2 linked regions of the Drosophila melanogaster genome follow. Changing the gene in region 1 together with any one later gene gives a genetic interaction. Each region holds a gene or a part of one and is shown on either strand. Other genes may lie near its edges.

The links. Genes that interact genetically often act in the same process or in processes that back each other up.
Region 2: of Ero1L (region 1) and Xbp1, changing one suppresses a phenotype caused by changing the other (phenotypic suppression), as found in Drosophila melanogaster (one study listed by BioGRID).

What each region holds. Positions count from the first base shown.
Region 1 is NT_037436.4:4,168,737-4,174,313, reverse strand, and holds Ero1L (endoplasmic reticulum oxidoreductin-1-like), read right to left. Parts: upstream 3,911-5,577; 5' UTR 3,663-3,910; coding exon 3,522-3,662; intron 3,101-3,521; coding exon 2,837-3,100; intron 2,090-2,836; coding exon 1,404-2,089; intron 1,347-1,403; coding exon 1,038-1,346; intron 977-1,037; coding exon 925-976; 3' UTR 525-924; downstream 1-524. Other genes in the region: CG18675 (uncharacterized protein), read right to left, coding at 1-361. UniProt on the Drosophila melanogaster protein: Oxidoreductase involved in disulfide bond formation in the endoplasmic reticulum. Efficiently reoxidizes pdi-1, the enzyme catalyzing protein disulfide formation, in order to allow pdi-1 to sustain additional rounds of disulfide formation.
Region 2 is NT_033778.4:21,142,000-21,146,250, reverse strand, and holds Xbp1 (X box binding protein-1), read right to left. Parts: upstream 2,703-4,251; 5' UTR 2,375-2,702; coding exon 2,115-2,374; intron 2,051-2,114; coding exon 1,387-2,050; coding exon of another isoform or gene 791-1,386; 3' UTR 501-790; downstream 1-500. Other genes in the region: CG9406 (uncharacterized protein), read right to left, coding at 3,054-3,152, 3,205-3,415, 3,468-3,705, 3,764-3,776.

The DNA.
Region 1 (5,577 bases):
CCTTGGCGTCGTTCATGGCACCTGCCAGGACCTTTTGCATCGCCTCAGTTGGCTGCTGTCCGTTACGGCGAAGGAGCGGATCCTTGTTGATAGTGAAACCACCAGACGGGATGCACTTATCCGCCCAGACATCCTTAAGCTTGAGCTCTTCCCTCTGTTCCTCGTTGAGGCCAATCATTTCAGGCGGCACCATGGTGCCATGTTCGGCCAGCTCCTCAATCTCCATGCAGACACGCTGAATCTTCAGTTGACCATTGTGCAGAGCCACAAGCTCGCGAAGCACAGTATCAGTCTTCTCCTTAACGCTTGTCTCATAGAGGAAGATAAGCTCGTCTCCGCGTTTCACCTGAAGAAGCACCATTTCGCACAGAAAATATAGTCACAAGAGCAATCAAGTGTCGATCGACTGGATAGCAATTTGCTAATGTCACAAAAGCCGACAGCTGGAATGGCAAACAACTCGGTTGCTAGGACCCGTATCGATGGAGACGTTAGAGAGGGTGTTTCAAAACAGACAGAAGTTTATTTTAGCGCCTTGTGTCGTAAGGTCTTGGTATTGCACAATGCGTTTACTTGCTCATTAAGTTCCGCTCACAAACTCCTCCAGATACAATAAATACTATGCTAACTTACAATAAACACCTGCATCCTGCATGGGTTATTTTTTTGTCATTTGGTTTTTTTTAGGGTGATACGGTGCGCTAAAGTACAAGTAGCCTAGGGTAATAGTTTGTATGTACAGGGAAGCAGCTATCCTGGGGTTACTAGCCTCTGGCCTCAAAAATGTTACGAACTATGGGAGGGAAACCGCATTCAGTAGGAAGTCCAAGACGCAGCCCCAGCGATGTGCGTATGAATTAACTAGCTGCTCATGTGAGGCGAATGAGATCCGGCTCGTCGCTCGGTTAGTCCAGTCTGGATGGGTTACCTCAGCACGCACCGGAAATTCTCCATCTCGTATATACTGTTGGATAGTCTGCAAGCAAGTGTATAGATGTAAGTATTTTAGAAATGCCATTTTATCATTTAAAACGCACCTGCCAAACGCATTAAATAGAGCTACAATCTCTGTTCGCGACAGCCTGAAGATGGGATCCGCTTCGATGTGCGGCTTGTCCCACAACCCGCTTTCCGTGGCCAGATTGAGCTTCTCTGAGTAGAGAATCTTTAAAGCAGTACCCAATCCCTGCGTCTGCAGCTTCCCCCACAGTTTGCACTTGTCGCAGCCTACGCAGCTCATGATGCGGGATATGTTTCGGAACTTTTCCTTATAGTCGTGCTTGAACTTAATAGAAGCGATTCCATTACTGAAGAGGGCGTTCTCGTCGAAGTGGGATTGAAAATTTCTACAAAAAGAAGCTAAATTGAAACATTGTAAGAAAAAAGAATATTCCTATACTCACTCTATGACACTCAACATATCATTGATGGCTAGTTTAACCTCATCATCCTCCTCTGCGATGCCCGTGTAGTAATCTTCTCGCCGCAGATAAGGAGCAGCCTTAGCCAAGGCGCGCAGTTCTATCAGATAGATGAAGTAGAGGTTTCGCAGCCAGTGCGGACCTTCACCGCTTGTGGTTTCTGGACTAAAGCGTCGTTTAAACTCCTTTACGTTGGGACCCCAGATGCCCTGCGGATCTAAGAAGTCCTTTGACTCTGACAGCAGGTATTTGGAGCACAGATGAATGTTGATACTAGAGTGCAGGCCAGAAATAATGCGATAAAAGGCACGCTGCTCCAAGCACACATTTCGCAAATCCAAATGAGGCACGTAGTTAGAGAACTTGTTAGCCGTCTCGTTGTTGCCACCGAAGCAGTTCTCCAGATAGATGCTCTTCCAGATGCGATGTGCCGATTCGCCCTTATAGCCGGTGTACCGCTCAGGATTTAGGAGCAGATCCACATACTGGGATCCCTCCTCATGATCGTCCACGATGCAAAAGTCCTCTTCCGCCTCATCATGCTTCGCCCACAGTTCGAATTCCCGATGCGCCTGATCACTTATGCTCGTGTCCAGGAAACCCAGAGAGCTGTCGAAATCCTCTCCATCCGAGCACGCTGAGCCCCCAACTTGCGCCTCGCGCGTGTACTGTAAATACAAGATGCAGATGAGGAAGTCAGTAAGGTGAAGTGAGCCAGTTGTGCAAACAAATAAGCTTAAGTTTTAAGTCAGTCATTATTTCATTGATGGTTAAGTAATCTTTGAAGAAACAGATAAAGCTTTTCACAAATATATCAATACATTCTTGAACGGCATTATCGGTATAAATAATTATCTATACGTTAATAAAGTATCTGGTAGATAATATGGTTTTGTTTTTTTTTTGCTATGTACGAGTATCAATTGTTTTTTGTTTGTGAAGATAAGAACCTCTGCTGTTAAATACATACGTATATTGAACTGCATTGTTTCTTTTTTTTTTTTTTTTTTTGAGTTATCTTTAAAAACAATAATTGATTTTCATTCTCATTTTGGGGTATAGAATTTTTGTTTATAATATTTTACTGTATGGTATAGTCTGCTAAGGAGTGATCAATATTTTAGATAAGTTAATAAGTTAATCGACAATTAAAAAGGGGCGGGCAAACGCTTGATGAGATGTGAAGACCACGTCAGCATTGCAAAACAAAATCAAAGGCCACATCATTAACAGTGTAGGCTCAGTTGAAGATTATCGATGCGGTTCATTCTTGTGGAGCCGCAGACATTCGAATAAAAATAAATCACCTGCAAGCCCATTGAGTGATTGGGTAGATAGTGGTGATTTTGGCAAAAGATTGAATAAGATAAGAGGCGTAGTGTAGACGATAGCGATGGAAATACCCGGAATCTTACTTTAAACGCGGCCTTCTCCTTGTGCTCTCCCTTGTCCTTGATGCCCTGGGGAATCGCTTGCTCCTCGCAGTTCTCCACCTGGCAGAAGCGCATCGCACAGCGACTGTCATCCGGCCAGAAGGGGCACTCCTGCCGCAGGTTCACCTTGTAGAAGCGGAAGAAGTTCTTCACCAGCAGACTCTGCAATCGCGGATAGATTTTCATGTTGTTAAAGTGATCCACCGTGTCCACATCGCAGCTGCAGTCGTTTATAGATCCCTCCAACTGCGAAGAATATAAATATCATACAGTCGAGGTGGCAATAGTAGGTATACAAAAATTTGATCTCAAGTTAGCTGAGTACTATACATATACTAGGTCAAATATTATTAGTGAAGCAAGTGTAATTAATTAATTATCACAAATAAATAATTGAGTATTCTGTACGTTCTGCACTGCAATTAAAGCAAAACTAATATAAGCACGAATTCTTTTTTACTAATCTCCAGTATTTCAACTACATACTTTTCAGTTTAAAATACAATTTTAAAAGCCTTTTTTTAAGATCTAAGTAGAGATCGTTAAAGGATAAGCAAATGATGATGAAATCAACTTCTTAATATTTTTGAAAAACATATTTTTAAATGGCTTAAATCATCAATTAATTTTACCGTTACTGTGTACAATAATCCGAATATTAACCCACCTCGCAGAAGCAGTTTTTGCTAGTCTCCGTCTCATCGATGGCTGCAAAATAGCCTCCAGTGGTGTCCGTCCAGAGCAGGAGCAGAACTAGGACCACCGCAGCGGAGGCCCACAGATTTCTCTGCACCGTGCGTGTTGTCATTGTGTTTTGATGTGAGTGTTGCTATTGTTATGACTGTTGCTGTCACTGTTTTTGTTGTTGCGTGCTCAGTTGTTTTGCGCTTCGCCGACGGAGTGCATCTGAATCCGATTTCCCCACCCGTGTGATTTCGCACCTGCGATTCCGAATCCCAATTTCACGAGTTTAGCGAGCATTTGCGTTTCGAAGCAGCAACATTGTTCATTTACTTTCGATTCATGATTTTGGACACGTACCTGGCGTTTGTGTGACCGCACGCGCTAAGCGCCGAAACGTACTAAAAAATACCACACTTGACGAGCGAAGTGCGGTCACTCAGCACAGCAGGTGCTTTTCAAATGGCCAATATTTCCCATTAATATAAATAATTTTATTTCAGTAATTTTTTTCGATTCGCAAATGAAGTATTCGAATATTTCTAAAAATTTTATATTTCTTTTCTAAAAGTTTTGGTTAAATGTTAAATAAGTAATCAAAATGTAATTGACCGTAAATATATAAAAAAAAGATTTTAAAAATAATCTGTTAAAAATTTGCCCATCAGATATTTGTTATATTGAATTTACGATATGTTGAAATTTCGCGCCATTTTTTTGAAGCAGAGGCAACCCTCTTCCCAGGGATGAAACATTTTAAGGGAAGAGGTTGCCAGATCGCGTTATGGAGAACAGAAATAAAACCGCTCGATTTGAATTAGCAGAATGAGAATATTTAATAACAAAAAATTGAGAGTGAGCTTGATTTAAAATTAAATAATGTAAAATTTTTCAAGATCAGATATAAAAATGATGAAATCGAGGTAAACCACTTTATTCAACAATTTATTTAACAAAGTATAAAAAAATAACTTTTTGATGAAAACCAGTTCATTTCTGATAGTTAAAAAATTCGGTTAACGATATTTAATTAAAATATGAAATATGAGCGTAATAACTTTCCAAATGACTTCTAGCGATAAAATTCAAGATAACATTCAATCGTCAATCAATTGATTGGTAAATGTGAATATCGTTATGGATTTCCTCGTCTCCAATATTGATGCAGTTAATTAATTACCTCAAATATTGATTTCGGCTATTCTTCGGCAATGAATGCGTCTTTTGTTCCCATGACAAACCCTTGCCCCGACGATAGCACCCCTCAAAGGAGCTCGCGACCCTCGATATGCAAATTGAGAAAACTCGGTCAGATCTTGGATCGAATCCTTTCGAGCCCAAGACCATCATCGTTCATCACGCCGGGGGGTGAATTGCTTAGGATGCTGGGCACGACGATGCAGGCACCTCGATTATTCGAACATAAATCGCCTTAGGTCGTTTGGAAAGTAGATACCAACCGCAACAGGATGGGGTCTATCATTTTAATTTAGTTACATCTTAGAATGTAACAAAGAAGCTACTTAATTTTAAAAAAAAATCAAATTAGTTACAATACCTAACTAACTTAACTAATTTATCAATTTTAAGCATGTAGATTATTTAAAACATTACATTAAAATTATTATACGTTAATGTGAACACCAAAACTCTCACGTTTCTTTTTCTTTATTCCGGTTTTATTCGAAATAAAACTATTTTTTTGCTCCCAAAAAAAAAAACTTCTTTTGTGTCCCACCTGAGCATCCTATTTCCATCAGAACCCATCAAAAGTTCTCACGGAAAAGTGAAATTACAACAACGGGATGACTTAAGCAAAAAAAAAAAAAAGATGAACCTCGAAAAAAACGGGGAAAAATCTTCGAAAAAAATGTACCGAACGAAAGGGTTTAATCATTTTTTTTTCCAAATAGGACGATTAATGCAGAAAAAACGCAGACGCAAACATGTGTGGCCAAAGGACAGGGCGGCGACCCTCGGCATTGTTCGAATTGAAAAGGAATCATCGCGGACTCGGGCGAGCGATTTGCATACGCAGGACG
Region 2 (4,251 bases), on another chromosome or scaffold:
CAAAATCACAGGTATGTGGTTCGTAAGCAAAAACTGGTTCAAGTCTATAAACAACTTTTTCGAACTAGTTCCGAAACAAATTCGCTTTTGCTGGCGCATTAGGGTGGCTCTATTTATATTCTTTAAAAAATATATTTTTCGAGCTTAGCAAAATCTTGTTTAAATCCTAGTTCAGTTTGGAGAAAAACAGAGCTGTATTTCGTCTTATTAATGAATAATATACTAATAAATAAGGTGCATATATTTCAGAGCATAGTTGTGGTTTTATTTCACCTATCCGCATTATCTGCAGTCAGTTCAACTCACTTTTTGTAATATATATATATTTGGTTAATAAAAACAAAATGACTCATATGCTTACACCTAAAACTGTCCCATCATCTACGCAGAAATTGCGTCATAAAAAAGTGGCGTGATGCTAGAGAAGTGGCGTGATTAACTATTTATCATACGCAGTTCAAAGTTCTGTTTCGCCTAGAGTAAACAAAAACAAAGAGCTTGTTGTTTGGTTTGGTTTATATTTTGAATATTTTTTAGTCAAATGTTTTTTTTTCAAATTCTTTGAGCACAATACATACATATAAGAGTAATCATAAGCCTATGTGGTTAGAGATTGTTAAATATAAATGGAAACCTACAGCTAAACTTAGCGCTCTAACTACAGTATCATATATAAAGCCTTCGATTATGAATTTATGTACAGCCTATCAACTAAAAAACTTAAACAAACGGCGGCCGGCCAAACTTAACAATAAAAGAGAGACAGAACGAAGTTTTCAGCTTGAAAAACTCAGATCAAACTGGGAAACAGCTCGTCAAAGTTGCTCTCCCAGGGGAAATCGTCCTCATCTGCGGGCAGAGTGAGAGCCACGGATGTGGGAGAGCCCAGTATGGACTCGTATCCATGGTCCGAGGTGGCCGAGTGTAGAGACAATGCGGGGGATTTGGCCAACGGGGAGATCGCCTTAACGCGCGGACGTAGGAATCGGTCGATCGGATCGAAGCTTTCCTCGTCGTCCGAATTGTCGACGGCGTTCATCACGTTGAGATAGACCTGTGACGGAGACGTCGCTGGCGGCGGACACTTCATGATCACGTCCGTTGAGTCGTCGCCAGCGCTGACGCCGTCACAGTAGATCTCCTCGACGGCCTCGTTCACCGGCACCGCATCCCCGTCCATCACGATGGTGATCGAGTTCGTCTTGGCATCATACGTGCCGTACACTGTGTCCGGAGTGGCCTGTAGTTGCGAGGCGGCCGCTGTCGCTGTGATTGTGGCTGTTCTCGAGGCTGGCGCTGCTGTGGTATGCTGTGGGTTTCCATTTATCTTCAACATCTGCACATTTAGGCTGACCTTGTGCTCGGTTTCCTGTTCCTGCTCAACATTCAGGCCATTAGCTCTATGCCCGTCGGATTCCAAGCGCTCTGCTGCGGGCCCCACCATTGGTCCAGGCAATCGCTCTGCGTTGCCTGCATCTTGGGCAGCAGCTGGGCTGCTCGCTCCAGCGCCTGTTTCCAGGTCTGCTGTGATATCTGCGAGCAGACTTTCGGCCAGCTCTTCGAGGCGCTTGACGTCGAACTCTTCGTCGACGCCAAGCATGTCTTGTAGAGTAGGCAGAGGGCCACAACTTTCCAGAGTGAGGCCAGGCTCTTGCTGCTCTTCAGCTGCTCCGCCAGCAGACGCGCTGACGACTGTGTGTCCACCTGTTGTATACCCTGCGGCAGAGGGTCAGCTTTGGATGCTGCAGATCCAAGGTTGGTGGACGCACAGCCCTCAGCGCCTGCGCTGGCGTTGGATTGGCTGATGCATCTGGTGTTGTGCTGCTGTTGCTGCTTCAGTTCGGCGAGTTCTTGGCGCAGCAGCTCCAGCTCCGAGTCCAGCTTGTGGTTCTTGGCCAGCAGTGACTCGTTGATGGCCTGCAGGCTATCGCACTTGTTCTGTAGTATTTCCGTTCTGTCTGTCAGCTCCTTGATCTCGTAGTCCATCTCCTCCATGCGTGCCTTCTTGCGGTCACGCGATGTCTGGGCGGCCACACGGTTCTTTAGCTTCCTGTTGTTCGATAATAACAGTTAAATAAGGCGCTCAAATTTGGTTAAAAGTTGGGTGGACTTACTTTCTTTGCACTTTCTCCTCCCAGGTTAGATGGTCCAGGCGACGCTTCTTGGCCTTGGGCTGGGATGCAGCCATGTTATCGTCATCCATGTTCGACGAGGATGCGTATCCCGAACTCGAGGGCGTGGGCGAGGCGGAGGGCGTGGCCGACACCTTCAGCAGAGCTGCCGTAAGGGGGGCGGGCCGCAATTTGGGCAGATTATTCGATGTGATTGCTGTCCGCGGCACGGTAATTAGCACTGTGTTTGCTGTGGGTGCCATGTTTAACTGGTTCGGGGCTAAATGATAAACTGCTGTGTGCTGTGTGCAATTGTGAAAAGCGACTTTCCACTTAGATTTGCATTGTAAGAGCGTATTTTAACTTTTGCTTGTTTTAGGTCGTCTCATGAACTTCGACTGCGCTTCTCGGACGCTCTGCTGGTTTGAATCTCTTCATCGCCGCCGACTCGGGCTTTTCTGGCTCCGTCTCACGCAATTTTCTCATCCACCTTTGCAATATCGACCGACCAGTTTTCCTTTCTGCTGACGTGTTCTTTTCCGAATGGCTGTGAAAAGCTGACGTGTTTTTCTAGAAGAGTTGGGGTAATGAGGGATGGAGCAGCACGTATCGGGCTATCGATTACAAATTCAGTTAATTTAGAGCAACGATGATTTGTAAAAGCGCTTAAATGTATTGTAAATTTTTTTTTATTGGATTTAATAAATATATTGTAACATTTCAGGCAATATCTTAAAACAAAAAATAGTTCCTTAAATTTTTCACACAATTCATTTTAATATCCAAACATAGAACAACGACTATGCCATCTCGAATTGCGCATGGCAGTGTGACCGTCTATATCTCAATGTGGAACAGTAAAAACGAGAAAGGAAATTATTTGTTATAAAATGTATAAATTTATTTTCCGCGTTATTTGCAATTGCTTGATTAAAGGGGCATCTAAAACAGTGGTTGTTGTGGTTTCTTGCCCTTTTCTTTTTCGGCTTGTGCTAGTTCCTCCTTGATAACCTCGGCAATTTCATAGATATCAGGCTTGTGCTGGAAATTTTAGATGAATCCAATCAAAAGTAGTTGGGAAATGCGATCTTACCCTGAGTTGATTTATGTAGAAGGTGTAGGGAATGTGTCCAGTAATGGGATCAATTGCCACAGGCCACATAGCATCCAATTCTTCAGCGGAGAAAGGTTCTCCTTCCTCCGCCATTAATTTGCCGAAGTACTCCTTGGTCAGATATTTTTTATTTTCTGGATCCAGGGTCTCAAAGGCCTCGAGAAGCTTTTCCGACGAGGCTGGTTCCATTCTGTGGACAAATATCGTTAGTTGCTAAACAAACCTAAAGTATATTGAATAACTGTCGATCCATCAGCAGTTTGGAAACGTGTTCCATGAACTTCACCAAATGGGCTTCGCCTGGATAGTCGACGGAATCGGTGGCTTTAATGACATCTTCGACCTCTTTTTCGGTGGGCGCGCAACCTAAAAATCGGAGCACGTTGCCGACATTGCGGGAATCAATATACTTATCGCCATGAGTATCAAATATGCAAAATGCTTCCGAAATCTTTTCCTCGAGTTCGTTGTTTAGGGTAACTACAAAAGGTTAGTGATATCAAGCGGAGGTGCGATGCTCATTTTATGTAATGCCTACCACCAACTTCCATCGCGGGTATATACTTTAGAATTTAATAAATAAACTGATAATTTTAAAATACGATTTATTTTTTCCTGATTTATATGTTTTCTGATTGAAGCATTATTAAAGGTTTGCTGTTTATATTTCGAATTTGAAAATAACGATCGGAAATCGATAATGGCGCCAAGCAAAGGGTATCGCCCCTGTGGTCATACTAGGTGTGGTGAATATCGACCGATAAGCATCAGTCGATAACTGCCTGCGAAGCAGTCGTGTTGAGCGTCGCGTTATTTTGTTTTCTGTTTTGTTTTTCGTTTCGTGTTTTTAATTTGTTTCCCATTAATTTGCAATTAAAGTTGAGACAATCGTTTAGCTAAAGATTTCATGTTACCCAAACAGTGAAGTTCGAGACTTTCCAGTGCCTTTTAAAGGACGAAATAGACTGCATTTGCTTGTTGTCGCTGAGCATTTGCATCTGTGTGCGTCGTTTGGCAGCAACAGGT